7 linked regions of the Nothobranchius furzeri genome follow. Each later gene encodes a partner of the first gene's protein in a complex. Links are inferred from orthologs where the notes say so. Each region holds a gene or a part of one and is shown in the gene's direction. Other genes may lie near its edges.

Region 1 (4,298 bases):
CACCTATGGTCACAAGCTTTGGGTAGTGACCGAAAGAGTTTCTGGGCTCTCTCTTAGAGATAGGGTGAAAAGCTTGGTCATCCGGGAGGGGCTCAGAGTAGACCCGCTGCTCCTCCACGTTGAGAGGAGCCAGTTGAGGTGGCTCGGGCATCTGGTTAGGATGCCTCCTGGACGCCTCCCTGGTGAGGTTTTCTGGGCACGTCCAACCAGGAGGAGACTTAAAGGAAGACCCAGGACACGCTGGAGGGACTATGTCTCACCTGGCCAGGGAATGCCTTGGGATTCCCCCGGAAGAGCTGGTCCAAGTGGGTGGGAAGAGGGAAGTCTGGGCTTCTCGTCTTAGGTTGTTGCCCCCGCGACTCGACTCTAGATAAGCGGAAGAGAATGGTTGGATGTTTGCTAGTCCTTTGTCCTTACCACATTACACTTAACACACATAAACTAATAAATATTAAACATTTGAGAGAATAGTTTTCCAACTTTGATAGACCAAATTACGTTCATAACAACAGATTTAGAAGTATCAGGATTTTCATTCCTTTTATGCTGCATTCTGTTTTCTCTTTGCAACCCTCCACTTATTACTCATCCCTGCTGAAATTATTTTATAGACGTTACATTTTACACGTAAGGAAACTGTTTCAGATCCAGATGGAAGATTTACAATTACATTAAGAAATATAAAATTAAGTATTGCTAATGTTTGGTCCAAACACTGAGGACAGGTTTTTACAACACTTTCAGCTCACTCTCACACATGGTAGGAGGGGATTTCAACCAGGTCCCTAATCCTGACTTAGACAAATCTAACAGATGCTCAAACTTTCATATTTGTCAGTCAGCTGATAATGTATAAAGGATTTTGGGTTTTGTGAAGCTTGGCGTTGTAATCACCCGGCACTTCAGGAACACCTTCTCAGCAGATCACACAACATGCTGCAGCTTCTTCTTGTTCCTGATGGTAGCTCCAGTGTACCACACAGTGATTGAAGTGAGGATGGACTCAATGACTACGGTGTGGAACTGCCTCATCAACTGTGCTGGCAGGTTGAATTTGTTCGGCTGCCTCGGTAAGTTCATCCTGCTGGGCCTTTTTATGATAGAGGTGATGGTGGGCTCCCACTTGAGGTCTTGGGTGATGGTGGTGCCCAGGAAGTGACATGAGTTCCCCATCGTGATCGGAATGTAATTTATTTTTTCTAATTTTCATCATATTTTTAATGACTTTTTGAAGATTTTTTGTATTTTGAATGTTTTGTTCTTTTGAAGTGCCTCATAATGTTTATCTTGAGAGGCTCTATACAAAAGATAACTTTCTTTCTTTCTTTTTCTTTCTTTCTTTCTTTCTTTCTTTCTTTCTTTCTTTCTTTCTTTCTTGCTTTCCTGCTTTCTTTCTTTCTTTCTTGCTTTCCTGCTTTCTTGCTTTCTTAACGTCTATTCTATTCTTTTCTATTCTAGAATGTTCTATTTTATTCTGTTCTATTCTATTGTTCTATTTTATTATTATTATTGTTTCGGGTTTTTTGTAGCTGTTGGTAAGGGGGATTCTTTTGGGATTTGTTGGTGGTTAGTTTCCCGGTCCAGGCCCAGTAAGTGTCGGTAATGCACCTTAAAGTTGCTTACCAACCACCGTAAAACTCAGAAGAAGAAGAGGAAGAAGAAGAACAGTGAATAAACACACTTCCGGTGTTAGTCTTCAACAACCACCATCAAAATGGCGAAGATCGCCAAAACCCACGAAGGTAGATTATTGGAGAAATCTCATATCAGTTCTATATTTTATTGTTTTGTTTGTGTTGTTGTGTCGAGACATGTTTTTACTATGTAACTATAATGTGGACAGCGCGTATTCCTGTATGAATGTATGGTTTTAAAGGGGAGAAGTAGCAGGCCTGCTGCGGCGACACAACGCGGGCCGTTTACATAATGGCGCTGCTGCTAGCGCTGCTGCTAGCTTGTTAGCTTAGACTGTCTTCCTTTTGACGATGTATACACTTCAGCAAATGATATTAGACGTACTAATGAGTTTTAGTTAATCGCAATTAAGTGTTGTACTGTGCTCTATTGTCTTAATCATGTGTTTTTGTTCGGATAATAATACGTGATTTTGGCCGTCGTATGACGCAACTAGCACTTTTAACACCATCCCCATGCTACAAAGCCCAACCACCGGTAAGGAATCGCGTAGATTGTGTGGGTAAACATCGCGGCTGTAATAAAGAAAAACCTGTTTGCAGATGAGGTTAAAAGCTGCTTCTGAGATAAGTGTACTATCGGGGGTTGTAACTTTAAATTAACGTTACGAAAAGTGCTACGTTATTTATTCGAATCCCATCTGGAACCTTTAGGCCATTTTTTAAATGTATTTTGTTTGGCCTTTATTATGACCATGTTAATGTTTCGTTATCAAGAATGCCGCCTTCCAACAATATCAAGAATCAAAACGTTTTACTGAACATTGGTACAAGCGTATCAGATGACGCATGCGTAGATATCACCTTTCTAAACTTTTTCTAAACTGAGAAAAGTTTAGCATGGGGCGGATAGAGATTAGCCAATTATTCTACCATTCATTATCTCCTGTTTGATGCCTGATGTGCCTGCCCAGATTTAGGTTCATTAGAATTCCTGGGAGGAATGTATCTTATCCTGTTTGTTCTTGTTCGTTTCAGATATCGAGGCCCAGATCCTCGAGATCCAGGGGATGAAGGCCTCCCTGGTGGACAATGGAGATCAGGGGGTGGGATTGGACTCCACTGGCTTTTATGACCAGGAGATCTACGGAGGCAGTGACAGCCGTTTTGCTGGTTATGTCACCTCTATCGCCGCCAATGAGCAAGAGGATGTAAGTTTTTATTAGACTTGAGTCAAGCTTTTTTGTGGAGTTTGAGTACTCCTATGTGTTTGTGTTTTGTGTATGAGCTAGGAGAGTCTTGCTGGATTAGCAGGACTTGACTAGACTCGTGTTTCTCCTTTCTTCCACAGGACGATGATGAGGATACATCAACAAGCTTGTTGGGACAAAAGAAACAAGGTTACCACGCTCCAGTAGCGATACTCAACGCCATTCCTCAGTCAGATGAGCAAGTATGTGTTCATTTAAATTGTCACAGATATAAACTTTTTAACATTGTCTAGAAAATGTTTTTACATACAGACATTAACCTAAAATCTGCTTGGTTTTTGGATTTATAGTACGACCCGTTTGCTGAGCATCGTCCACAGAAGATTGCAGAGCGGGAGGATGATTACAAAGGCCGACGCAGACAGAGGATCATCTCACCTGAGCGTCTTGACCCTTTTGCAGATGGTAAAAATTGTCTTATTTTTTGTCCTAGTTCCACTTTCCCCCATTGTTACTGTTGTTAAGATGCCACCCCATGAGTGTTTCTAGCTTTATTTTTGAACCCTTCGACCACAGTGCAATAGATTGCCTCCCAGACTTGATACCTTCCCTGTGGTAAATCCTCTGTGGCCAAAAAAAACATTTTTCCTCATTGTTTTACAATTTTTCTACAAACGTCAGTGTGGGCTCATTGGGAAGTCTGGATTTGTGCTGAAAACCATTGTAGGGTTAACCATCCTGTTGAGTGGGAGAGGTTGTTGGGTGTGTCCTAACATGCGTGGGTTGCAGATGGGTTGTGTGTAGGTCGAAGGGTTGGCAGATCCTTGACGGCAAACATAAAAATATGACTTAGTTATGGTTCAACTGGCCTGCTGATGCACTGTGCTTTTTCATACTAGGCACAGCAGCTGTAGATCCTCAGGCAGACTGAGAAGGATAAATAATCAGAGGCATGAAGATGTGATCAGCATTTTAGAGTCACAGAAACTTGGTGGATTTGGGCTTCATAAAAGCCCTCAGGAACCCTGTTGTAAATGATCACACTTTAGTGTCTGGCGCTGCGTTTGTCACCTGCTAGCTCGTTAGATTTGAAATAATCTGCAGCCTCCGGGCTGAGTAGGCTAGCTGAATAATTTTTACTTTAAACAACATTTAAACATCTGTAGCTTGTTGTAATTTTCTGCTGCTGGAAGTAACCCACCAGTGGCAATGCCCAGAAGGCGTATGCTTTAGTGGTACTTGCCTCTTTACTTCCCTTGATGATAACAGCTGAGATAGGCTGACAGCTCCAGGGTTTATCTGAAACCTGCATGTAGAGAGAGCTCTTTGTACATAGTTGTTGTGTAAATATATTTTTATTTTACAGCTCTCTCTGTAAAATAGAAATATGTTATCAAAGAAAAGTTGTGTGCCAAAATACCACAGGCCCATACTAACTGTCCTTAATTTCTCT
Region 2 (4,084 bases), on another chromosome or scaffold:
GCTCCTCCAGGGGAATCCCAAGGCGTTCCCTTGCCATTCGTGTGACATAGTCCCTCCAACATGTCCTGGGTCTTCTTTAGGTCTCCTCCAGGTTGGACATGCTCAGAAAACCTCACCATGGAGGCATCTAGGAGGCATCCTAATCAGATGCCTGAGCCACCTCAACTGGCTCCTCTACACCGAGCCCCTCCGGATGACTGAACTTCTCACCCTATCTCTAAGTGAGAGCCCAGAAACCCTGCAGAGAAAACTAATTTTGGCTTCTTGTATCTGCAATCTCGTTCTTTTGGTCACTACCCAAAGCTCATGACTAAAGGTGAGGGTAGGAACATAGATCGGCCGGTAAATCGAGAGCTTCGCCTTCTGGCTCAGCTCTCTCTTCACTACGACAGATCGGTACAACGTCCGCATTACTGCAGACACGATCTCATCCCACCTGTAAATCTCACTCGCCATCTTTCCCTCACTCGTGAACAAGACCCTGAGATGTATAAACTCCTCCACTTGGGGCAGGATCTCATCCCTGGACCCAGAGAAGGCATTCTACCCTTTTCTGACTCAGGACCATAGTCTCGGATTTAGAGGAGCTGATGCTCATCCCAGCTGCTTCACATTCGTTTGTGAACTGCTCCAGTGAGAGACGGAGATCACGTTCTGATGAAGCCATCAGGACCATGTCATCTGCAAAAAGCAGAGACCCCATCCTTAGGCCACCAAAATGAATGCCTTCAACACTTTGGCTGTGCCTCGAAATTCTCCATAAAAGTTATGAATAGAATTGGTGACAAAGGGCAGCCTTGGCAGAGTCAACCTCTCACCGGAAACGAACCCGGCCTACTGCTGGCAATGCGGACCAAGCACTGACACCAGTCATATAGGGACCTTACAGCCCCTATCAGAGGGCCTGGTACCCCATACTCCCAAAGTACCCCCACAGGGTCCCCCGAGAGATGCGGTCCAACACCTTGTCTAAATCTACAATTAGTTTAAATCCAGACCCTAAAAGTGAAAGCAACAAAATCAATAAAAGTTGGGAAACAAAACCATAGCAAAAGAAATAATACAAACAATTGATCCAAAATTAAAGAGAACATATTAAATAAATAAACAAAAATGCAAATGTTTCATATCGTTTTTTTAATTTATTTTTCACATTTTAAATGTAGCCCTTTACTCCTAAATAAACTAATCTCTTAGGTCTTTATTATATGCTTTTATCCGCAAACGTTTGTTCGTCGGTCAGTTTTACTCCTGACCACTAGATGGCAATGAATGTTTGAAACTATTTATGAACTGCTTAAGCTGAGAACCAACACGCATGCGCAAAACAATTCTGTCCATCACAGTTTGTCGTTAGATTTGTTTGGGAGAACGTAAGTTTATTTATAATATTTAGCTAGTATTTTGTTGTGCAGTTCGCTGAGCAGTAACGCTAAAACATTGATTAGGCTATATTTAATTTCATTCTGATAGTTTGTTCATTTTGGTAGGTTTAAAACTATCCTTGCATATATGGTAGCACTGTTAGCATTGTCAGAACGACGTCCATCGATGCTAAATGCTAACAGTAAAATGTGCGCGAAAGGATAGTTCAATATAGGGATTTTCTAGTTATGTTATTAAAAATTAAGACGTTTCAACCTAGAATCATGACAAATTGATAAATTGATGAAAGGGGTGTCGGGAAGAAAGTCTTTATGATTTGAGTTATAGATTTAACACATACACGCATACATACATATACAGTCCTGACTAATGTTCACTATTAATACTACATTTAAGGAACTGTGCCGCTCAGATATTCATTCTGGCTGCTGTAACACATAGCGTTACCATTTTATCAGCAATTATATGAAAGTTGTTGAATTTATATTTATGATAGTGTTACTACGTGCATACTGCTTTGTACAGTACTTATAGTTGTGAATGTTTTCTACATTTGAAATAGCATATGTTTCTCAGTTTTATAGGGATGGTAAAAATAAAACACCAGGGGTTCAGTTTTAACTGAACTGGCTTTTTCTGTTTTTTGTTTTGTGTTTATTTGAAGAAATACACGATACATTATGTTTGGTCTGTCCCTTTGATGCTATATGTTTATGTTGTCTTTAGACTGAGTTCATCACTTCAAAAAAATGGATTTCCAGCATCGAGCTGGAGGGAAGACTGGAAGTGGAGGGGTGGCGTCTGCCTCTGAGAGTAACCGGGACAGGCGTGAACGGTTACGTCAGCTGGCTCTAGAGACCATCGACATCAACAAGGACCCCTATTTTATGAAGAATCATTTAGGTTCTTATGAATGCAAACTTTGTTTGACACTTCACAACAATGAGGTGAGGAGGCACTTAACGGATTGGATTGGGCTATGTTAGAATTTTTGATATTTGGGAATTGTGTTTCTAAAGAAAACCCTCTACTTGATTTTAGGGCAGCTACTTGGCTCACACACAGGGAAAGAAGCATCAGACCAATTTGTAAGTCAACCTAAAACATTCTCTAACACAATTAATTGCTACTAGTTCAATATTTGTCAGTAAACATTTTCCTGTATAATTTTTTCTTTCTGAGTTAAATCTTTTCTATTTGGTGTTTTAGAGCACGAAGAGCAGCCAAAGAGGCAAAAGAAGCGCCGGCTCAACCAGCTCCAGCAAAGGTTAAAGTTGAGGTCAAGAAGTTTGTCAAAATCGGTCGACCAGGATACAAAGGTACACTGGCTGCATGGTTCTATATTAGATCAACATTATTTGGCTTTTTGTAACAACTTTTGATCCTCGTCTTTCTCTTTTTTTCACAGTGACAAAACAGAGGGACCCAGAGACTGGTCAGCAGTCTTTACTTTTTCAGGTGAAAATAAAAAATATATTTTAATTCTGGAAAAATCCTGCTGTGTTTCTGGGAATCTGAGACACTTGATAATAGGCTTTATGCTTTATTGTTCGTGTGAAACCAAAGTTAAATGCCATCATATGTTTAGCTCCACTTTAATTATTTTCCAGCCCAATATAACAGTTTTGCTCCCATTGTATGACCCCATTGTGGACACCACTTGAAGATGCGTTGCAGATACAAAACAAACTCCTATAGTTCCTATCAGGGCAATAATAACCAGATGTTACAACATCTGACAAGTTGTTTTTATTTCCCATATTAATCAGATCGACTATCCAGAGGTTGCTGAAGGAATTGGACCCAGGCACCGTTTCATGTCTGCTTATGAGCAGCGTATCGAGCCTCCTGACCGTCGCTGGCAGTACCTGCTGTTTGCTGCTGAACCATATGAAACTATTTCCTTTAAGGTGGATGAAAACTGTAATTTTTGTCATTGTGCTCATGTGTCACATTTCCGTAACATTAAAATGTTTGCTCCTTTAAGGTCCCCAGCAGGGAAATTGATAAAGCAGAAAACCGCTTCTGGACTCACTGGAACAGGGAAACTAAACAGGTACTGACTCTGCTTTGTTTTTACTAAAAAACTAATTTAAAAAATTTTCTAATGTATGAATGTTTTGTTTTCGTTCAGTTTTTCCTGCAGTTCCACTTTAAAATGGAGAAAGCCATTTCTGGTGGTCCAGCTCCTCCTGGCAACTTAAAGCACCCCGCTTCACTTATGAGTGGCCACCCATCAAACGACGGTCTTCCACCTCCACCACCAGGAGGGATGTCTGTTCCTCCTCTGCCACCCGGGGCACCAGGTCCCCCCCAAATGCCCCCACAAATGCCCATGCCCCCCATGCCAATGAGGCCACCTCCCCCAGAGGGCCTTATGCAGTGATAATTTGCTGTTAGAAATTGCATTGGTGGTCAGTTGTTCTGCTCTGCCTGTTTTGTATTTTTAGGATGTTGGATATCTTCAGTAGATTTTCATAACTTTGTTTGCCTAAAAATAAAATTCTAAAGCTAAATGTTATGGAAACATTATCGTCCTCTTGTAAACTAATATCTGGACACATTTTTATTTCTTATGTCCATTTTTTAATTAAAATACACAAATACTGAAAATACCTGAGTGTTTGTTCTACAAAAAATACAGAGAATTATCTGAAGTTTACTCTGATCAGGTTAAAATAAAACAAATCAACAAAAT
Region 3 (3,965 bases), on another chromosome or scaffold:
ATTTTCTGGGATAGTTTTCACTCGTGGTTAACGCATAATAATTTCATTATACGCTCCTTATCTTCGACAGGCGGATTGGTTCGGCATCTGCAGTGATGCGGACGCTGAGCCGATCTGTCGTGGGGAAGAGGGAGCTGAGCCAGAAAGCCAGGCTCTCGATTTACCGGTCGATCTACGTCCCAATCCTCACCTATGGTCATGAGCTTTGGGTAATGACCGAAAGAACGAGATCGCGGATACAAGCGGCCGAAATGAGTTTCCTCCGTAGGGTGGCCGGGCTCAGCCTTAGAGATAGGGTGAGGAGCTCGGACATTCGGGAGGGACTCGGAGTAGAACCGCTGCTCCTCCGGATCGAAAGGAGCCAGTTGAGGTGGTTTGGGCATCTGGTCAGGATGCCTCCTGGACGCCTCCCCGGGGAGGTGTTTCGGGCATGTCCTGCCGGCAGAAGGCCCCCGGGTCGACCCAGGACACGTTGGAGAGGTTACATCTCCAATCTGGTCCGGGAACGCCTTGGGGTCCTGCCGGAGGAGCTGGTGGACAAGGCCGGGGAGAGGACGGCCTGGAGCTCCCTAATTGGGATGCTGCCCCCGCGACCCGGACCCGGATAAGCGGAGGAAGACGACGACGGCTCCTTATCTTTTTCTGACATCAAGTATGTTATTAGTTTGGAAAATAAAATGCAGCAATTCACTGTCAATAATTTGATTATTTTCGCCAAATTCTTTATACACAAATGTAAATTTGGCAATATCAAACCGATCTTTATTGTTTTTTTGAAAGAACTTGCATCCTTCATGGATTCTCTTAAATTATGTAGTTCCAAGAAAGCCATTTGGCTCTATAACAATTTGGTGAATGTTTCCTTTACCCCTAATAATGTTGTTTGATGTAATATATGTATATATTTATTTGGTTATGACTTCTGCAGGTTGATATTGAGCTAGGTTAATATTATTGTTTCTGTTTGTACACCTGCTTTTTTTTGTCATGCTCAGAATTCATCTGTAAATATTGATTCTTATGTAAGCCTGTAAGCTTCATTGGTTAAATAAAACTTGTTAAAAAAAAAAAAACAAAGAGCTCCATTGTGGGGGCTTGGTTTTAGCATAAAGCGATTCCAGTAACGGTAGGGGCCGGTAGTGAGACAACAACGTGACGTCTGCAGCACTCATCCAATCAGCACCGTGGGCGCCGTTGTAGTCCCAGCCCACATAGCATATCGCTCTCATGAGTGACAGGCGGGTTGCGGTTCTGTTTGCTCGGTTCTTCGGGAACAGGTAAAGTTATTGCGTTTTCTTCCCGCCGTAGACGGCTTGCTTGGGGGCATGAAAGCGGAACTTGCTGTGCCTCATCGTGTCGCTGTTTGGTCTGTTGAATCTTGTCGGAGCTAGCTGTGGTGTTAGCTGCAGCGGCTAACCCCGCGCATATTTTCCGCTGCTTAAACTTAACGTTTACATTGCCCGGTAAACCGATGGCTTGACTGAATGACTTCCGCTAACTAACCAATTGGCGCAGCCTTGACGCGGAAGTGAGGTAGTATTTTGAGTTTATTGGTCAGTTTTTCGGCGCGGCTAACTAATCGGCTAAGTTGTTTGAAAGCTATAGTTTCCGCGCGCTTGTCCGCGTGCACATGAAATAAATAAAAAAGATTAAAGTAGTCAGCTGCATGTTACCGTTTCCGCTAATATCAACATCAACTCATGAGGTTAAGTAAGTGTGTGTGTGCGCGCGCGTGTGTATAAGAGGCACCGGACTCCATCCGTCCTTCTTGTTTTTAGAATACAAAGCGTGGTTTTGGTGATCCATTGGTTAACTGTGATCCGTTATCAGACTAGTGACTTATCAGAAGCTTGAACACACTTCGGCACCGGAGCTACCGGACAGAACACTCACTCTGGATCCACAGACCGGATCATGTCTTCATGACTGTTTGTAATCAAATTCATGCTCCTGGGCAACATGAGCTGAAACCTTTACTGAATTAAACCAATTACCATACCAAATTTATTTATAAAAGCACAATAAACAGCGTGAGAGCTGACCACAGCGATGTACACCACAAAACCACACAAAGACCAATAAAACTAAATTAAACAAATACATGTAAAACACATGAACTACACACCACAAAAGTTTGACTTCAGTCTGCTAGTGAAGTAAAGGTCTGACTGCATGTGGTCTAAAGAACAGGAGAAGCTTTTCATGTTGTCTTTTCTTAGTGGGGCGGGCAGGTTTAGTTTATGTGGTGACGTATTTGGGCTCAGACCTTTACTAAAACCAGGGTTTCTTAGACTTTTAACTCAGCTTTGTGGAACAGACCTGTGGATGCGACAGGTGTGTCAGAGTAACTCTGCAAGTGGAGGAGCAGTTGAAAGCTGAGCTTTGCTCTTATTTAGTTAGCTGTAAGCATAGCATCATAAACCTGGTGTGTTCTTTCAGGATCAATTAAACGGGGACTCAAAGCAGCTGTGCAGACATGAGCGACGCGGCGGAGGAAGCGATGGACAGCTCCGTGGGATCTGAGGAGGACGTTGAGGATCAGCAGGAGACAGTGCTGGAGGATGAGACGAGTCCAAACAAAAATAGCTCCAAGAAGTCTGGTGAGGAGAGTTGTCTGATTGCACTGTCACTCGTGTTGGGTTGTTCCTTTCTGGGTTCTGTAAAGGTTTATTTGTCTGGAACAGCTTCAGCATGCTGACATGTTCTTTCCGTTACAGCTGTGGGTGAAATCATCGAAGGGAAGCGAGTGAAGAAGACTGTGGAGAGACTGGATCTCCAGGCGCCAAAAACCAAAGAGAAGTTGAAGATCGGAGATGGTGTGCAACAAAAGAGGTTTAGATGTGTATGAATACAAACCAACAGCTGGTTAACATCTGGTGTTTGCAGGCAGTGGAGATAAACTAGGAGACATCCCTCGAACCAATCATCAGATCACCAGGATGAAGCTGGTGGATCTGAAACAGCTGCACATGCTCCTGTTTGACAGACCGGGAAAGGTACAAACAGCTGAACCGAACCCAGAAAACTGACCTGAGCACAGCTCCAAAATCACCTGTTCATCTCCAACCAGAAAAGTCCCCATTCTGATTGATCAAGTACCCAATGACCACTTTTCAGTAGTTATTTACAGGCAGGTGTCAGCTGCAGGTGGGAGTTATTCATGTGTTCATGTTCAGTAATCCCACAGAAAAATATGTGAAGTAACAAAGGGGAAAAGCACCAGCTTCAGTCTTGAGTTCTTCATAGAAACACCCCAGAGTCAAACGTGAAACTGCTTTTTGTCTCTCAGATGGCCACACTCAAGAAGAACCTGCGGCTGTTCAACGGCTTCCCTTTTGACGTCGACAGCGAGCAATACAACAAGAAACGAGAAAAGCTTCTCAAGTAAGTTCCTGTTAGCTGCCTGACCCGACTGAAGGATAGGACCTACTGGTGATGGCCAGGTGAAGCTGCATGAAGCTTCCATCCCAGTGGTCCAGAAAGAGGCTGGAGATCACGCGTGTGTTTGGTGTGAAGCTGAGCAGATACATGAATGTTTGTAAAGCCAGATGTTTGTTTGGAGTTTTAATTATAAAAAAAGAGCAAGCAGTCTGGCACACACACACACACACACACACACGGAATAAGCAGCACTTTGCTGCTCTTTTTACATTCAGTCTCGCTCAGACCGATGATGCGGGTCCTGGGTTGGGACCATGGCCTGGCCTGCGAGGCTTTAGACACCACCACACATCAGCACAGGCCTGGACACAGGACTCGTCCCTAGCTCCCAGATGTGCAGATATAATTTATGGTTTGTGTTTGAGGGTTCAGTCAAGATCCTTCCATAAACATCCCGCGTATCGTTTCAGAAACTCCAGCTTCACCAACACCAAGCTGAAGGTTGTCTGCACTGTTCTGGATCTGGAAAAGAAAGGAACCCACTCTGATCTGATTGACCGGATTCTGACCTTCCTCATTTCCCC
Region 4 (3,500 bases), on another chromosome or scaffold:
CAGGTCATCATCAGTTTGTGATTTTGTAGCCTCCTTTAGCTCCCTCAGACGAGCGTCGGCCACACCGATGTTTACTCTGTTTCTAGCTCTTTGCTTCACTGACTCTCCCCTCTACAGACGACGACGATGATGGGAGGGACATGGATGCCACCAATTCCTCAGCGCTGATGTCTGAGAACGACGAAGATGGTCTGATGTCTAAAAAAGATGTAAGTCCCATCTGCACAAAGCTCAGGAGCACCTAGTAGTGACCAAGTTTGATCCCGTTTTGAGTTGAACAAGCAATTTTTTTTCTCTCTCAGAAAAACCGCAAGAGGAGGAACCGCAAAAAGAAGAGCAAGAAGAAGCGAGCTCAGGAGAAGAAGGAACAAGCTGAGCAGCAGCAGAAGAAGGGAGGTGGTGAGAAGGAGAAGGAGAAAGAGAAAGGGAAGGAGCCAGAGGTGGAGATCGAGTACGTCACAGATGAGCCGGAGATCTACGACCCGAACTTTATCTTCTTCAAGAGGATTTTTGAGGCTTTTAAGGTGATTTTAATCAGCAGCACAGGTTCAGGTGTGTCTCTGTGTTGTTGTGATAACACTTTCCTGTCCTTCCTCGTTCCTAGCTGACTGATGATGTGAAAAAAGAGAAGGAGAAGGAGCCGGAGAAGGCGGAAAAGCAGGAAGTTTTAGGCGTTCTGCGAAAGAAAGGATTTGAGTTGGAGAGGAGAGACAGTGATGACAGCGATGAGGTACGAACTCGGTCATTTGAGCTTTCTGGTGGGTAAAAACATGTTGTGCCCCTTTAACGTCCAAAAACCTCACAGGAAGTCAAACAGGATGTTCCTAAACTGTCCAAGAAGAAGCTGAGGAGGATGAACAGGCTGACAGTGGCTGAGCTCAAACAGGTAGAGCAGCTTCCTTCTAGTTGATGTTGTAGTTGGTATCAGAGTCTTTAGTCACAAATGTTCCTACGTCCAGCTGGTGGCCCGACCCGATGTGGTGGAGATGCACGACGTGACGGCTCAGGAGCCCAAGCTGCTGGTGCACCTGAAGGCCACCAGGAACACGGTCCCTGTGCCGCGCCACTGGTGCTTCAAACGCAAGTACCTGCAGGGCAAGCGAGGCATAGAGAAGCCCCCGTTCCAGCTGCCGGAGTTCATCAGGAGGACGGGGATCCAGGAGATGAGGGAGGCTCTGCAGGAGAAGGTGGGTGTCAGCGGGACCTCTGCCTCCCTCGCCCTCTAGTGGTCACTGATGGGAGCTGTTCTGCTTGCAGGAGGACGCCAAAACCATGAAAACCAAAATGAGAGAGAAGGTTCGTCCCAAGATGGGAAAGATCGACATCGACTACCAGAAGCTCCACGACGCGTTCTTCAAGTGGCAGATCAAGCCCAAGCTCACCATCCATGGAGACCTCTACTACGAGGTATGGGACCACTCCTCTGGCTGCTCCTCACTTAAAAATCATCTCATGGCGTGTTTTTGTTTTTAGGGTAAAGAGTTTGAAACGCGTCTGAAAGAGAAGAAACCAGGAGATCTCTCTGATGAGCTGCGGATCGCTCTGGGGATGCCCGTGGGACCGGTAAGCTGTCCTCTTCTGTTAACATGTGTGATGCTTCTGTTTGCATCACCATGGTAACATGGATAGTAGCACGCTCAGTGGAGGCTACTCGTAACGAGGTGTTAAAATGGTTTCATGACTCAGCATTTTTGTGTTGTTTCTTGTCCATCAGAACGCCCACAAGGTGCCCCCCCCCTGGCTGATAGCCATGCAGAGGTACGGCCCCCCTCCCTCCTACCCCAACCTCAAGATCCCTGGACTCAACTCGCCCATCCCAGATGTAAGAGTTCATCGTGGTCTCCTCTGGTTGTGTTTGTGTCATGCTTCCTACTAACTTCCTGCTTCCGGGTGTGTTCCTGATCACCAGAACTGTACGTTTGGTTATCACGCCGGAGGCTGGGGCAAGCCGCCGGTGGACGAGATGGGCAAACCGCTTTACGGCGACGTGTTTGGGACCAACTCCGCTGACTTCCAGGTCAGAAATAAAACAGCTTTACACACAAAATATAAAAAAAGGTGCTAAATGAAAACCAGGGCCTGCTGACATCATCAGACTTTATTGATTCCTTCAAACTCTGATGCTATCACAGCCTGGCGGAGTCTAGCTGGTGGTCATTTTTATTACGTTTTTGTTGACAGATTAGGAATAGAGTTCATGTTTTAGAGTTTAATATAAAAATCAAGCTGGAACAGTGAGATCAAAGCCAGTCTGGTTGATGTGATGCTCTCTAAAGCACTTTGTTTATTATTTTCAGCTTTTAGAGCCCAAATTTACAAGAAAGAAAATCATGTTTATCATTGATTCTGTTATTTTATTTCATTTTTTTTTTCTAGCTGTGTAAAAGTGTGTTTTTGTTTGCGCGCGTGTGTGTGCGTATGTGTGTGTGTCCCCAGGCTAAAGCAGAGGAGGAGGAGGTGGACCGCACGCCGTGGGGAGAGCTGGAGCCTTCAGATGAGGAGTCATCAGAGGAGGAAGAGGAGGAGGAGAGCGATGAAGAGAAGCCAGATGAAACTGGATTCTTCACACCAGCTGACAGGTCTGAATGCTGTTAAAGAACACAGTTGTGTGACTGGTTAGACTGGGTTAGATTTACCTGATCTCTTGTGTGGGTGTAGTGGGTCTGTGTCCTGTCAGCATCACCCTCTCCCAGACGGGTAGGAGATGAAACAAATCTTTCCTTTTGTTCCTCAGTGGGCTGATCACACCTGGAGGCTTCTCGTCGGTGCCCATCGGCACGGAGACGCCTGAGCTGATTGAGCTGAGGAAGAAGAAGATCGAGGAGGCCATGGACGGGTGAGTGTAGCAGCTTTTCTGCTGCCTCCATCCCCTTTAGTTCATCGTTTTTACTGGTCGATGCATCAGGGTTCTCAGCAGGGAGACAAAGGATGTGTCCATATTCAGGGACAGCGTCCTCGTTAGGACCTGCCCACACGGGTCAGGTCGTTCCTCATCCACTGAGACTAGAAGAGAACGGCTGTTGATGTAAACCTTCTGATCCTGTCGCCTAGCAACTTCCACGGTGCCAAACAGAAGCTAAATCTAAACTTCTGAACACATAAAGAAATACGCGGCCTCACCATATCGGCTCTTTCACGAGGGGTTTTCTCATCGTTTTTGATGAAAATATATTTGAAAATCAGACATTCAAACAAACAAATCCTGACAAGACCACTGAAGTTTTTAGTTTTTGTACCACAAGAGGTTAAAATGCTTCCATCCTCTCCTGCTTCGCCCGCCATCGTCGCAAGGACCAGAATCTCCCGTGCATGAACTCTGGGATGGGATGGGCCGGTAACGATGCGTCCGAATGAGGGTGATGGGGAAGGTGCGCTGGCCTATTCTCCTCCGTCGTTGTCTTCTTACTTCTTAAATCAACCTTTTCGGGACTTTGCTAAGACGTCAGGACCATTTTGGCAGTGAGTGATGTCACTGATCAGTGCATGCTGCCAGTAAAATG
Region 5 (4,166 bases), on another chromosome or scaffold:
AAGCATATTTACTTTACATCATCTCCAGCCTCGTGTCATCCTGGGTTTCTGCATATTTGTGTCCTAAACATCCTCAAAACGTGACATTAGAAAGGACTTGGTCCTGATGTTGCTGCTATGCAGGCGGTTTCTGATGGTAGAAAGGACTGTTTTCCTACTGAATGTAGTGTGCACATTTACCAAGGTGTCCTTTTTTAGGTGTTTCACGTGGTCTTGCTGGGGGGGTTAGAGTCTTTAGGGGACAGAGTTGAGTCAGAGCAGTGTTAAAGATGCATTGTTCATGTGATTTACACCTGGTCACGGCCTCGGTGAAGACCAGATGTGATGTTCATCTCCCAAGCTTCACCTTAGTGCCTGTTTGAGTGAAGCCCAGCATAAGCCAGTGCTGCAACATCCGTTACCATGGCAATAACCTTTTTCTTTTCCCTTTTTCTAATTCAGTTGTTTCGTTTGTGCATAAAAAAGGCTTTTAAAAAGTCTGCTGAGGTTTCAGAGGAAAATTAGTTGCAGTATCAGTGTTTTGTTTTTTATAAATATTAAAATTAAAGGTGCTGAAAAAACCTGATTGATGCTCAAATTACTCGAATAGGGAATAGTCTCCAGGTGTGCTACCGCATCCAATTTAAATTTTTACTTCTTGTTTTTAAGTAACTCTATCTTTATGCTCCTCTCTACTTGACTCAGCTGGTTCAGCCCTACGTACCTGGTCGAATTCTTTGGTCAGCAGACCTGTTACAGGTCCCAAGAGTTCGGGTGAGGACGCAAGGAGAACGAGCCTTCTCAGTCTGTGCGCCTCGTCTCTAGCAGTGACGGCTCATTTTTATTCCTTAGCTTTTACTTCAGCCTAGCTAGCATTTTACGATGTTTTTGTTTTGTCTTTATTGATTTTATAGTAGTTACTGTACTACTTTTATTACTTCTTCCAGTGTGTTGATTTTTATGCTCATTTACTGTGCAGCACTTTGGTTGGCCTCGGCCCTGTAAAAATGTGCTTTAAAAATAAAATGGAATGGAAATAGTGCTCCCTTCAATTCTGGAACCAACTGGTATGAAGAGCGAGAAGAACATTTTAGCCTAAATATTTTTTCATGTTTTAAAAAAAGTGCACTAACACTTGTTTGCTATACAGTTTTAAATGTTATTTTATTCGTATTCATTATATTGAAAGAAACTCTGGGATTTTTTTACTGAGTTGAGCTTAAGTATAGGTTCTGTTCAGTTCTTATGCATCTTCAGTTATCAGCCTCAGCAGCCAGTATTCAAATAGCATTTCTGTAAGAATGTCATTTTTCTATAGTTAGGATAATTGTTCCAGGCTGGTTGAGGTTCTTGTCCGCCGCTAGAGGGCAGCACCGTTATAAGGATGTATCTGTAGCCTAATTCCAAACCGGAAGTTCGATATATTTTTACCGTAGCCTCCATTTTGAAGTGAAAACAGCGTGTTTGTTGTTTATCTGCGTTATTTACACGAATTAAATCGTTACGATGGCTATGCAAGCAGCAAAACGTGCTAATGTAAGTGTAATGGAGCATATAAGGGGACAAAGGAAAGGCTAATGTGAAATGTAAGCTAGGTTTAGCTCTGAGGAAGCGTCTCAAAGAATTAGCGCACTACTAGCAGGTTAGCAAATTGAAAACAGTCCTCAAAACCTGAAATCTTCAAGCTTTATATTCACTTTAGTTATACTTACCATTTGAGGTCATGTGTTTTTTCATCTTTTGTTTTGTGAAGACATAATCCTCGTTGGGATATCGTCAGGCTAAGAATATTTGTTCCTTCCGGTACGGAAACAAGGATAAGCTAATGCATGTAATGATTAAAAGTAGCCATGTCTATTGTTAAGTGACTTACGTAGTCTTAAAAGGCCTCAGCTAGTAATCGTGTGTACTTATGTATCAGGTATTTGAGTTTTTACCCAGGTTAGTTTTGTTCCCTCTGAATAGTTTAATGATGTGTTTTAATGGTGTTGTAGATCCGATTACCTCCTGAGGTGAACAGAATCCTGTATATAAGGAATCTCCCCTATAAGATCACAGCTGAGGAGATGTACGATATCTTTGGAAAATACGGACCAATACGACAGATCCGAACGTAAGTTTTCAAAAAGTGTGTGTGTGTGTGTGTGTGTGTGTGTGTGTGTGTGTGTGTGTGTGTGTGTTATTATGAAGTCATTTTCAGAGTAAAAGAAAATTTTATGTAACAAAGCCAACTCTGCATTTAAAGCAGCCTTCACAGGATAAAAGCCACACATCGCTTCACGGTAAACATAAATAAAACAAATGTAAGTAAAACAGGTTTAAGTGTATTTAGAGAGCTCACGTTGAAGTAACAGTTAAGAGTCGTAGAGAAAGCAGCAAAGACAGAAAGAAAACGATCTTTTACGTAGCGCCTCTCAAAATAAAAATCACAAGGCGCTTCACAAACAAAACAACTAGAAAGATGTCAAAAAACGATTAAAAATATGTTTAAAATGAAGATAAGTAAATTGTGATTAAAAATAATAATGTAAGGAATGGGAGAGAGAAAATGAATAGGAAAGAGGGAAATGAGTGGATTGCTGGGAAAGGCGGAATACGTAGAAAGAGCCGAATAGGGAGAGGGTGGTGACGAAGGTCACACCAAAGCCAGCTTGAACTGGTGAGTTTTTAGCTGCTTTTCATAGGAGACCACCGAGTCCACTGATCTCAGGCTCAGAGGGAGAGAGCTCCAGAGTCTAGGGGCCACAGCAGCAGATGATCTGTCACCTTTGGTCTTTAGCCTGAAAAGAGATGAACACAGAAAAGGAGCCACCTTCATGGACGTTGTTTCTGCCTGGAGTTGATTGGTTTGTTGACACAAATTACATGACAAATCCCTTAAAGAGCAAATTGCAGGTTAGAGACTCCCATGAACCAATGTTTAGAGAAGCATAACAGAAACTCGGTTTAGAAGTTTTTTACACAGTAGAGACGGAGCTGCGCATCTGACCCCGGAAGTTGTTGCCCGTTGCCAGGAGACGAAGGCGGGCAAAACAGGAAAGGAATCTAGTAGCGGACGGACATTGTTCTGGGTCTTCGGTATTTGGTGGAGATGTTAGTGAAGGCGGAGAAGAGGGTGGACTAGAGGAAAAACAGGCAGGTTCCACCTCTATTTACAAACTCCTGGGGATGCAACAAGTGGGCGTGGTGCGTCGACCACCGGATCTGACGTCGACGAATTTTTAGAATCGAGCCGTCGACGTCATCGATGCATCGCTACAGCTCTACTGCGCATACCTGTAGTTATCGTCCATTTATCGTTATCGAGGTGAAATCCTCAATATATCGTGATATTGATTTTGAGCCATATCGCCCATCTCTAACCTAAAGGAAGACCCAGGATGCGCTGGAGGGACTACGTCTCTCAGCTGACCAGGGAACACCTTGGGATTCCCCTGCAGGAGCTGTGGAGGGAAGTCTGTGCCTCCCTGCTTAGGCTGCTGCCCCGTGACCCGACCCTGGATAAGCGGCCAGAAATGGATGGATGGATCAGCTAAGATAGTTTGATGGAAAAACAAAATTTGTTATTTTTGTTAACAACAAAAACTAGAGAGCGATCAGTTCACCTTTAATAAACATGGCTGCTGCTGCTTCAAGAGGGTCGGCTCCTTTCTGTAACACCGGTGTGTGAGCAGCAGACTCCTCCTAATATCCAGGCGGTGTCCTCTGGCTTCGGTGTGGAGTAGACCTACTTTAACTTTGAAACTTTTATGCTAGTCGCGTGTGTGAGAGCCCTGCTTTGGGTCTGGGACCCAGCACGTCCTTCTGTTATTCTGTGAGGTGGTACCAAAAAAAAAAAAAAGTCAAAAATGATCTTTTTCCCTCAATCCGTGTCATGTGATTTAGATACAGAGTCCCAATCCAATATTTCAGCAATCCATTAAATTAAGGAAAAAGTAGAAAACATCCAAGTTTTCCATTTTAGGTATTTTTATTATTTATTTGTAAGTTGGAACGGAATAGAAACGTTATCTGTCTAAACGGCTAGAGAAACTCGTCTTTTAAAAAGACACAACTTCCTGTTTCCATGTCATTTCCTCAGTTGAGCTGCTGAAACCATTCAGGAAGAATATTGATCAGAAACATGTTATTACTACAAATATGTTTAGTAATAGTCTCATTCCTTATTATTCAAATAGTTTAGAAAG
Region 6 (3,241 bases), on another chromosome or scaffold:
AATATCAGGAACTAAGAGTCCAAATCCTCCGTCTGAAACTCAACTCTGCTCTGGCTCACTTTGAGTTTCTGAAACTGGAGCTTCAGAGCTTTTTTCCTCAGAGATTAACTCGTTTATACCAGAGACAACAGCAAATGTGTTGCTTAAATGAGTGAATTTGGTCTTAAAATCATTATTTCTTAATATATTTCAGCAAATCACCCTGTATTTAATCAAAACGTGAGTTAAATTTATTTCACTTTTTTCTTTTTGTCAAACAGCCGTTCTCCTCAGCGTGAGAAGAAGAAGAAGATAAAGAAGTACTGGGATGTCCCTCCGCCTGGATTTGAACACATCACTCCCATGCAGTACAAAGCCATGCAGGGTAACAAGTTTGATACATTTATAGTTGGGATGTTATCCATCGCGGTACTGAAACCTCTATGTGATGTAGATATGATGGTAGTGTGGTAAAATGGAAGATTATAACTTTGTGTTTCGTGTTTTTCAGCGGCAGGACAAATTCCAGCCACCGCCCTCCTGCCGACCATGACCCCAGACGGCCTGGCTGTAACCCCCACCCCCGTACCTGTGGTGGGCAGCCAGATGACCCGGCAGGCCCGCCGTCTTTATGTTGGCAACATCCCCTTTGGTATCACAGAGGTGAGAAACAGAAAAGCATATTTCGGTTTGGATAATATCGTTTTAATGACCTTTACTCTTTGTGTGTGTGTGTGCGTGTGCGTGTGTGTGTGTGCGTGTGTGTGTAGGAGTCCATGATGGACTTCTTTAACGCTCAGATGCGTTTAGGTGGTCTTACTCAGGCCCCTGGAAATCCTGTCCTCGCTGTACAGATCAACCAGGACAAGAACTTTGCCTTCCTTGAGGTGAGAAACATCCCGTGATGGTCATTAATGATCCTCAGGAGCAGGGTTAGGGAACCCTGGTCCCGATCCAACACGTTTTAGAGGTTTCCCTGCTTCAACACATCTGATTTTAAACAGCAGGCTATTAACAGGCTTCTGTAGAGGCTGATGAGCTGCTAAACTGGTGAATCCTCTGTGTCGGAGCAGGGAAACCTAAAACGTGTTGGCTGGCGGCTCTCCAGGACCAGGGTTCCCTACTCCTGCTCTGAAGTATTCCTGAACTCTCGTTGGATCTTGTTTGTGTGTTTTTAAATGTTTCTGTTCAGTTTCGTTCAGTGGATGAAACGACACAGGCAATGGCCTTTGATGGCATCATCTTTCAAGGCCAAAGCCTTAAAATCCGTCGTCCGCACGACTACCAGCCACTGCCCGGCATGAGCGAGAACCCCAGTGTCTATGTGCCTGGTACACAGACAATTAATGGTTTTTATCCTTACATTTTGCTACAAGTATACATAAACATTTGATCACTCAATATCCACGTGAGCCTCTTCTCGGGTTCCTCAGACTCGTTCTTGTCCTTGCACATTTTGCAGGAGTGGTGTCCACAGTGGTCCCAGACTCGGCTCACAAGCTCTTTATTGGTGGATTGCCCAATTATCTGAACGATGACCAGGTCGGTGTTGCAGTCTAAGTGCCATCCTGGTGCTTAGCATTCATGTGTGTTTTCTTATTGGTGACATTTTGGTGTTGAAATGAACCGAATGAAATAAAAAGTTGACATTAATCTTGTTTGCTTTAGTTTCCATCTAAACTCGCGTGAACTCTCGTGTTTCAGGTGAAGGAGTTGTTGACGTCGTTTGGCCCTCTGAAGGCCTTTAACCTGGTAAAAGACAGTGCCACAGGCCTATCTAAAGGATATGCCTTCTGTGAATATGTTGATGTCAACCTGAACGATCAGGTAACGGGTCCCAGCAGGTACGTCTGTGGTGGAACCTTTCTGGAAACGGGTCACTGAGCTTTGGCTGTCTGCACAGGCTATCGCTGGACTGAACGGCATGCAGCTCGGAGACAAGAAGCTCCTGGTGCAGAGGGCTAGCGTGGGATCCAAGAACGCCACTCTGGTGAGGCTCCAGCTGCTGGGTGAATGACAGCAGAACGGTGGGAGGCTGGATGTCGGTTCTAAAACGGACCGAGACAGATTGCTGAATAGATCTGCTGCAGCTCCTCGTCTGTTCAGTTCTAACCAGGACAAATATACGTCTTTTCAGCCAAGTCGTGTACTGAATATGAAGCTGTGCGCTTGTGTTTAGGGTGGATCTATGGCGGTATGCAGAAGCCTGAACGTGAAAGTCTTTGTTGTTGTTTTTTCTCCAGACAACTATAAACCAGACCCCGGTGACGCTGCAGGTGCCGGGTTTGAACAGCTCCGTCACTCAGATGGGTGGCCTGCCCACTGAGGTGCTGTGCCTGATGAACATGGTGGCCCCCGAGGAGCTCCTGGACGATGAAGAATATGAGGAGATTGTGGAAGACGTCAGGGAGGAGTGCAGCAAGTACGGCCAAGTGAAAAGCATCGAGATCCCTCGTCCGGTGGACGGCCTGGACATACCTGGGACGGGCAAGGTAGGCAACCTTCAGATTCTGATGTAAAGCGCTTTGATGGATCAGCAAATCATAACCGTGCCTCTTGTTTTCCCTCGCTTCACAGATTTTTGTGGAGTTCACTTCAGTTTTTGATGCCCAGAAGGCCATGCAGGGGCTGACTGGAAGGAAGTTTGCCAACAGGGTGGTGGTAACGAAATACTGCGATCCAGATGCTTATCACCGCCGGGACTTCTGGTAGAGGGGGGACGATGAGAGGGAAAGGGGAGGGAGGGGGGAGGGAGGGAGTGTAGCATGTACTGCCTGTTTCCAAATAGCCCTCGGAGTGATTTTGGCTGAGCAGCATTTCAGGTAGATCTCGGACTGTTAATCGTTTGGCGAACGGCTTTGGTGATGTCCGGTTAATTAAAGGAGATCTACGTGACGTGTTGAGCATTTAGCACCAGTGTGGCAGGGAGGAGGAGAGGAATGGCGTGTGTTTATTTTAAATGTAACACCGGGCTCGGTTTGGGGCGGTAGTCGTGTAGCTGGGTGGGTTGGGATGTGTATGAAATTTGAGAAATGTGTGTAATAACGGGGCCGGGGTGGGTCGAGAATTTTTTTTTTATACTTTGTGAGACATGGATGTTGTTTTTTTGGGTGGGAACAGGGAGCCACGCTTCAAAGGTTTGTATTTAAATGGAGTCGACCTGTTTTAAGTACATTTAGAGAGGATCTGCAGCACGGAGCTACTGGAAAATTCTGATTGAGAAGAGTTGGAAACTAAAAGGAGATGGTGTGATGGGCGTTGT
Region 7 (4,263 bases), on another chromosome or scaffold:
AAAGGTGGTACCATCCTGACCATGCGCCGGCACATGCATACTCTGTGCATTCAACTGCCTCTCTTTTTTAAAGGCTAAATATTTTTTTGTTAAGTGTTCTATTCTAAGCTTCTGTTGATTAATTGACTATTCCATCCGACAACGTTTCAAGCGAAAAAAAACTGGTTTACTGCTAAAAAATATGAAATAAAACAACAAAATTATCAGGCTGAAGTATATAAAAGGCTCAATAATATGCATTATGGTTTCGTCCATCATGAACAGCCCCCCTCCTTCCACTCTCACTGAGACTTCTTTGCTTCGTTCAAAAGAGCCAGTCTTTTGAGCGGCCCTTTGAAGACGTAATTATTTTTATTTTTATGAGCTTTACTATCTATTTGTGGTATAACGGTTTGTGACTAAATGCATTATGGGATACTTTTCTGGTCCAAGTCCAAAGATGGATACTTTATTGTAATGGGTGAAGGACGAACACATCCAGGAACTTTGAGCGTACTTGCCATGATGCGTACTTGGTATTGGAACAGTACACGGGCTAACGCCAATGACATTTCACAATTAATATAGTACACACGTTTAAACAAGTACTCATATTGCAAAACAGCCTATAACTTGTTTTTTTTAATTAGTCTAAACCTTTCTCTTTCTGTGGTCTTTGGTGATTGCCAAGCAACACTTCCTAACCAGGAAGCAACTTGGTTCGCTCCCTGCTAGCCAAACTATCTCTAAGTATCATGACAGTGCTATACTTTCTCATATTTATGCCATAATGTCAAATTATTTCTTTATTATGTGACAAATATTATGAAGGTTAAAAGAAGGCGATTGTGTTTATGAACACCGGGTTTTAGTGAATCAGCTTGTGAAATATGTGTTGCATTATTTGGTTTGTGTTGTGAAATTCTGTTCTCGTTTTAGGGGCCAAAAAAAGAAAATGTAATAAGTGTATTTGAGCAGGTTTAATGAGTGAGCCTGGAGGTCTTTAATTTTGTTTATTTTTAAGGTTTACTTTTTAAAATAAAGTTCAGTAGATGTATTTTTCTTCACAAGCCATTAATTATTCTCAGCTCTTTCAGTTATTTTAATGACTATTATCTATGAAGGCTCCCTTACTGATGCTTATTTTAAATTCATTTTATAAACAGCTTTGGCAACAGTTTTATTTTTTGTCTTTGGTGCATGATGTTAGTTTCTATTTTTAATGTGTGTTTTATATATATATATATATATATATATAAAAAATAGTTACTTTCTAAAATTTTTGAGACCCTAAATGTGTGTATTTTCTATGAACACTTTGTATTCCATGTTTATACCTTTAGTATATTTATATGTATATGAAATAAATCAAATAATAAAAATAATTGTGGCTTTGTTTTGAATTTGTTGTTAATGGTTAAGTGCCATACAACTAAAAATATCCCAGAAAAAACTATCAAATCAATTCAAATGAAACTTAGTGATTTTGATTGCCTTTCAAGTTTTTAATTAACATTCATTTATTTGCTGTCTTTTTTTGTTTAGGAATGTCTGGGTCTTTAGTGTAATCAGAGTATAACAATTTTTTATGTAACTACAAAAACAGAAGAATTAGTTTATTTTTACTTTAATTTATTTGATCTTATTTTATTTTGTTGGGTTTTACCGGAAGAGGCGGGCCTTCCCTTCACAACGCTCTCCCAGCGTTGGTCATTCAACATGGCAGCGGGACCAATTTCAGAAAGAAACCAAGGTAATTTCATTGTTTAAATGGTTTAACGCTTACACCTTCATTATTTAGCGATATCTCTTGATTTATAACAATTGAAATTCTTATCCGCTCTTTCCCACCAATGTTAGCTGTCTAATTAGCCCGTGTTTTGGGGGTAAATGCGTACTCAAACACATGGAAGTCTCCGGTCTCGTTAGCCTAGCTTCTAGCTAAGTTAGCCGTTTTTTGTTTATTTTAATTGTATTACTTAATGCTTGTATTACTTAATGCTTGACTTCACGATAGCATACGGGAGTTTTATGTTGTTTATTTGAAATGCAGAGATTATTCCAAGTCAGGACTAGAACCACTAAACAACTAAAGTTAGCCTTAAAAACTCGCGACATTAGCATGTAGCAATGCTCACCTATCAATGTAAACACCGTTTTCCTTAATAGGTATTTTCTTGTGTTTCCAGATGCCACCGTGTATGTCGGTGGTTTGGATGAGAAGGTGTCAGAGCCGTTGCTATGGGAGCTTTTTCTGCAGGCTGGCCCTGTTGTCAACACACACATGCCCAAAGATCGGGTCACAGGTCAACATCAAGGTGAGAATCAGGCTATTCAAGATGGGATGAAAGTCCTAAAATTCACTGTAACAATGTACATAACAAATGAAACTGTTCCACTCAGGTTATGGATTTGTGGAGTTCCTCAGTGAGGAAGATGCTGACTATGCCATTAAAATCATGAACATGATTAAGCTCTACGGCAAACCGATTCGCGTGAATAAGGCCTCCGCCCACAACAAAAACCTGGATGTTGGCGCTAATATCTTCATCGGGAACTTGGACCCGGAGATCGATGAAAAACTGCTCTACGACACGTTCAGTGCTTTTGGCGTTATTCTACAAACTCCAAAGATCATGCGAGACCCAGACACCGGCAACTCCAAGGGTTACGCCTTCATCAACTTTGCCAGCTTTGATGCGTCCGACGCCGCCATCGAGGCCATGAATGGCCAGTACCTGTGCAACCGGCCCATCACTGTGTCGTACGCGTTCAAGAAAGATTCTAAAGGAGAACGCCATGGCTCAGCGGCAGAGCGACTGCTAGCTGCACAAAACCCTCTCTCGCAGGCAGACAGGCCACATCAGCTGTTTGCAGATGCTCCGCCCCCACCATCTGCACAGACGCCACTCCTAACCGCAATGGGCCCCGGGATTCCTCTTCATGGTATGACTGCTCTAATCTTAACTGCCGATAAAGAAGTACCTTTCTACATTTATTGGGTTAATTATATAATAGTTTTGTTTTTTTTTTTGCGCAGGTTTGCCGCCTCCTGGTGCCTTTCCTCACGTTCCTCCCCCTGGATCAATGCCTCCAACGATGCCCCCTTCTATGGGCATGCCTCCATCAGCAGGGACACCAGGTCCTCCATCTTCTCTTGGTGGACCTCCAGCTGTTCCTCCACCTTTCGCACCGGCCAGCATGCCTCCAGGTATAACTCGGTTGCAGAAAAGCCTGAAAATTTAAGTCTCTGCTCCCCATTTTAGCTTTAAGAAGTCCAATAACGATTAATAAAATTGTGCAGGATCAACCTCAGTCATCTCCTTCAAATGTGAAGAAATAAAAACAATAATGTTTCAATTTAAATGTCAGGTTATTAAAATGCAGCTGTTAGCCCTGAATGAGTTATTTTTATTTGTTTGATCCGGGCCCACAGGTATGCCTCAGATGCCCATGCCGCCTGCTCCTCCTGGCATGGTGCCTCCACCTGCTCCACCAGGATCGGCTCGAGCTCCACCGCCCCCCAGCATGCCCCCACCTCCTATGGGCATGCCTCCCAGAGCACCGTATGGACCCCCCATGGGTGAGCACTGTGGCATTTTCTCAAAAATACAATTTTTTTTAAATGAAAGTTGTTTTTAACCTGTTATTTCTTTTTTTTTTTTTTTTTTTCCCAAGCCCACCCTGTGCCTCCAGGTATGAGAGGACCTCCCCCCATGCCTCCTCCCGGCTATGGTGCCGTTCCTCCTCGTCCACCTCCTTTTGGTTTCCAGAGAGCACCTCCAATGCCACCAAGACCTCCCGGTGCCCCTCCTCGGGTCCCTTGAGAGCACCAAGAGCTCCGTGATCCACGTCAGACCACAGGAACATTCAGCTTGTTGTTTTTTTAAATACATGTTTCGATCTACTGGATTTTGTTATCTTGGAAGTAATTTAACCAACTGTTTTTGATTTATGCTCATTGTACAGATAAACAGAAAATTGGCAAATAAACATTTTAGTACAACTTTTGGATATTTTTGCGTTTAATTATTACTAATAAACTTGTAATGTACCAGAAATTAGTTTATGAGTAAAAGCTGCATAATAAGCAGGTGAGAGAGTAATATGTTCTAATTTATGTCCAAAAGGTATTTATAACTTGAGGCAGGGGCCCCAGTAGGTCATATACTCTCAGGTATTATGGTTTTATTTAAAAAGTAAAGTGATATTCCCTACTGTTGGGATTAAAATCCAAAAATATTTTTAAAAGAATTTTTTTAAAATGTTTTCTTTGGACATTTA

The links.
Region 2: sf3b1 (region 1) and sf3a2 share a complex: the UniProt entries of both Homo sapiens proteins name them as parts of the 17S U2 SnRNP complex. The link is inferred for Nothobranchius furzeri from reciprocal best matches to the Homo sapiens genes SF3B1 and SF3A2.
Region 3: sf3b1 (region 1) and dek share a complex: the UniProt entries of both Homo sapiens proteins name them as parts of the B-WICH complex. The link is inferred for Nothobranchius furzeri from reciprocal best matches to the Homo sapiens genes SF3B1 and DEK.
Region 4: sf3b1 (region 1) and sf3b2 share a complex: the UniProt entries of both Homo sapiens proteins name them as parts of the SF3B subcomplex of the 17S U2 SnRNP complex. The link is inferred for Nothobranchius furzeri from reciprocal best matches to the Homo sapiens genes SF3B1 and SF3B2.
Region 5: the proteins of sf3b1 (region 1) and sf3b6 are in contact, whole or in part, in a crystal structure (PDB 2F9J), measured with the Homo sapiens proteins. The link is inferred for Nothobranchius furzeri from reciprocal best matches to the Homo sapiens genes SF3B1 and SF3B6. Residues at the interface, in NP_036565.2 of Homo sapiens: Trp388, Ile392, Arg395, Asn396, Arg397, Pro398, Leu399, Ser400, Asp401, Glu402, Glu403, Leu404, Asp405, Ala406, Met407, Phe408, Pro409, Glu410, Gly411, Tyr412, Lys413, Val414, Leu415; in NP_057131.1 of Homo sapiens: Arg12, Leu13, Pro14, Pro15, Glu16, Val17, Arg19, Ile20, Ala32, Met35, Tyr36, Arg46, Gln47, Ile48, Arg49, Val50, Gly51, Asn52, Thr53, Thr56, Thr59, Ala60, Tyr61, Val63, Glu65, Asp66, Ile67, Phe68, Tyr92, Ala97.
Region 6: the proteins of sf3b1 (region 1) and splicing factor U2AF 65 kDa subunit are in contact, whole or in part, in a crystal structure (PDB 7SN6), measured with the Homo sapiens proteins. The link is inferred for Nothobranchius furzeri from reciprocal best matches to the Homo sapiens genes SF3B1 and U2AF2. Residues at the interface, in NP_036565.2 of Homo sapiens: Ser336, Arg337, Trp338, Asp339, Thr341, Pro342, Ala343, Met346; in NP_009210.1 of Homo sapiens: Met383, Glu388, Glu394, Glu397, Ile398, Asp401, Val402, Glu405, Gln447, Gly448, Leu449, Thr450, Gly451, Arg452, Lys453, Phe454, Ala455, Val459.
Region 7: sf3b1 (region 1) and sf3b4 share a complex: the UniProt entries of both Homo sapiens proteins name them as parts of the SF3B subcomplex of the 17S U2 SnRNP complex. The link is inferred for Nothobranchius furzeri from reciprocal best matches to the Homo sapiens genes SF3B1 and SF3B4.

The regions. Positions count from the first base shown.
Region 1 is NC_091754.1:36,044,038-36,048,335, reverse strand, and holds the start of sf3b1 (splicing factor 3B subunit 1), read left to right. Parts: upstream 1-1,498; 5' UTR 1,499-1,714; coding exon 1,715-1,742; intron 1,743-2,672; coding exon 2,673-2,845; intron 2,846-2,985; coding exon 2,986-3,087; intron 3,088-3,195; coding exon 3,196-3,310; intron 3,311-4,298. UniProt on the Homo sapiens protein: Component of the 17S U2 SnRNP complex of the spliceosome, a large ribonucleoprotein complex that removes introns from transcribed pre-mRNAs.
Region 2 is NC_091751.1:56,891,767-56,895,850, forward strand, and holds sf3a2 (splicing factor 3A subunit 2), read left to right. Parts: upstream 1-1,284; 5' UTR 1,285-1,373; intron 1,374-2,112; 5' UTR 2,113-2,135; coding exon 2,136-2,333; intron 2,334-2,427; coding exon 2,428-2,474; intron 2,475-2,595; coding exon 2,596-2,705; intron 2,706-2,794; coding exon 2,795-2,844; intron 2,845-3,155; coding exon 3,156-3,296; intron 3,297-3,373; coding exon 3,374-3,442; intron 3,443-3,520; coding exon 3,521-3,772; 3' UTR 3,773-3,999; downstream 4,000-4,084. UniProt on the Homo sapiens protein: Component of the 17S U2 SnRNP complex of the spliceosome, a large ribonucleoprotein complex that removes introns from transcribed pre-mRNAs.
Region 3 is NC_091745.1:58,973,620-58,977,584, reverse strand, and holds the start of dek (protein DEK), read left to right. Parts: upstream 1-1,165; 5' UTR 1,166-1,277; intron 1,278-1,419; exon of another isoform or gene 1,420-1,533; intron 1,534-1,588; exon of another isoform or gene 1,589-1,710; intron 1,711-2,439; 5' UTR 2,440-2,476; coding exon 2,477-2,600; intron 2,601-2,717; coding exon 2,718-2,816; intron 2,817-2,886; coding exon 2,887-2,996; intron 2,997-3,289; coding exon 3,290-3,384; intron 3,385-3,851; coding exon 3,852-3,965. UniProt on the Homo sapiens protein: Involved in chromatin organization.
Region 4 is NC_091742.1:75,387,253-75,390,752, reverse strand, and holds part of sf3b2 (splicing factor 3B subunit 2), read left to right. Parts: intron 1-117; coding exon 118-209; intron 210-302; coding exon 303-524; intron 525-604; coding exon 605-730; intron 731-805; coding exon 806-886; intron 887-959; coding exon 960-1,187; intron 1,188-1,257; coding exon 1,258-1,407; intron 1,408-1,473; coding exon 1,474-1,563; intron 1,564-1,714; coding exon 1,715-1,822; intron 1,823-1,909; coding exon 1,910-2,017; intron 2,018-2,436; coding exon 2,437-2,579; intron 2,580-2,734; coding exon 2,735-2,836; intron 2,837-3,500. UniProt on the Homo sapiens protein: Component of the 17S U2 SnRNP complex of the spliceosome, a large ribonucleoprotein complex that removes introns from transcribed pre-mRNAs.
Region 5 is NC_091742.1:17,814,881-17,819,046, reverse strand, and holds the start of sf3b6 (splicing factor 3B subunit 6), read left to right. Parts: upstream 1-1,366; 5' UTR 1,367-1,485; coding exon 1,486-1,515; intron 1,516-1,973; coding exon 1,974-2,092; intron 2,093-4,166.
Region 6 is NC_091745.1:76,211,802-76,215,042, forward strand, and holds the end of splicing factor U2AF 65 kDa subunit, read left to right. Parts: intron 1-260; coding exon 261-364; intron 365-490; coding exon 491-642; intron 643-749; coding exon 750-866; intron 867-1,171; coding exon 1,172-1,328; intron 1,329-1,441; coding exon 1,442-1,521; intron 1,522-1,683; coding exon 1,684-1,806; intron 1,807-1,882; coding exon 1,883-1,969; intron 1,970-2,222; coding exon 2,223-2,471; intron 2,472-2,556; coding exon 2,557-2,691; 3' UTR 2,692-2,741; downstream 2,742-3,241. UniProt on the Homo sapiens protein: Plays a role in pre-mRNA splicing and 3'-end processing. By recruiting PRPF19 and the PRP19C/Prp19 complex/NTC/Nineteen complex to the RNA polymerase II C-terminal domain (CTD), and thereby pre-mRNA, may couple transcription to splicing.
Region 7 is NC_091759.1:1,629,860-1,634,122, forward strand, and holds sf3b4 (splicing factor 3B subunit 4), read left to right. Parts: upstream 1-1,463; 5' UTR 1,464-1,698; coding exon 1,699-1,732; intron 1,733-2,168; coding exon 2,169-2,297; intron 2,298-2,382; coding exon 2,383-2,925; intron 2,926-3,019; coding exon 3,020-3,190; intron 3,191-3,415; coding exon 3,416-3,562; intron 3,563-3,657; coding exon 3,658-3,806; 3' UTR 3,807-3,985; downstream 3,986-4,263. UniProt on the Homo sapiens protein: Component of the 17S U2 SnRNP complex of the spliceosome, a large ribonucleoprotein complex that removes introns from transcribed pre-mRNAs.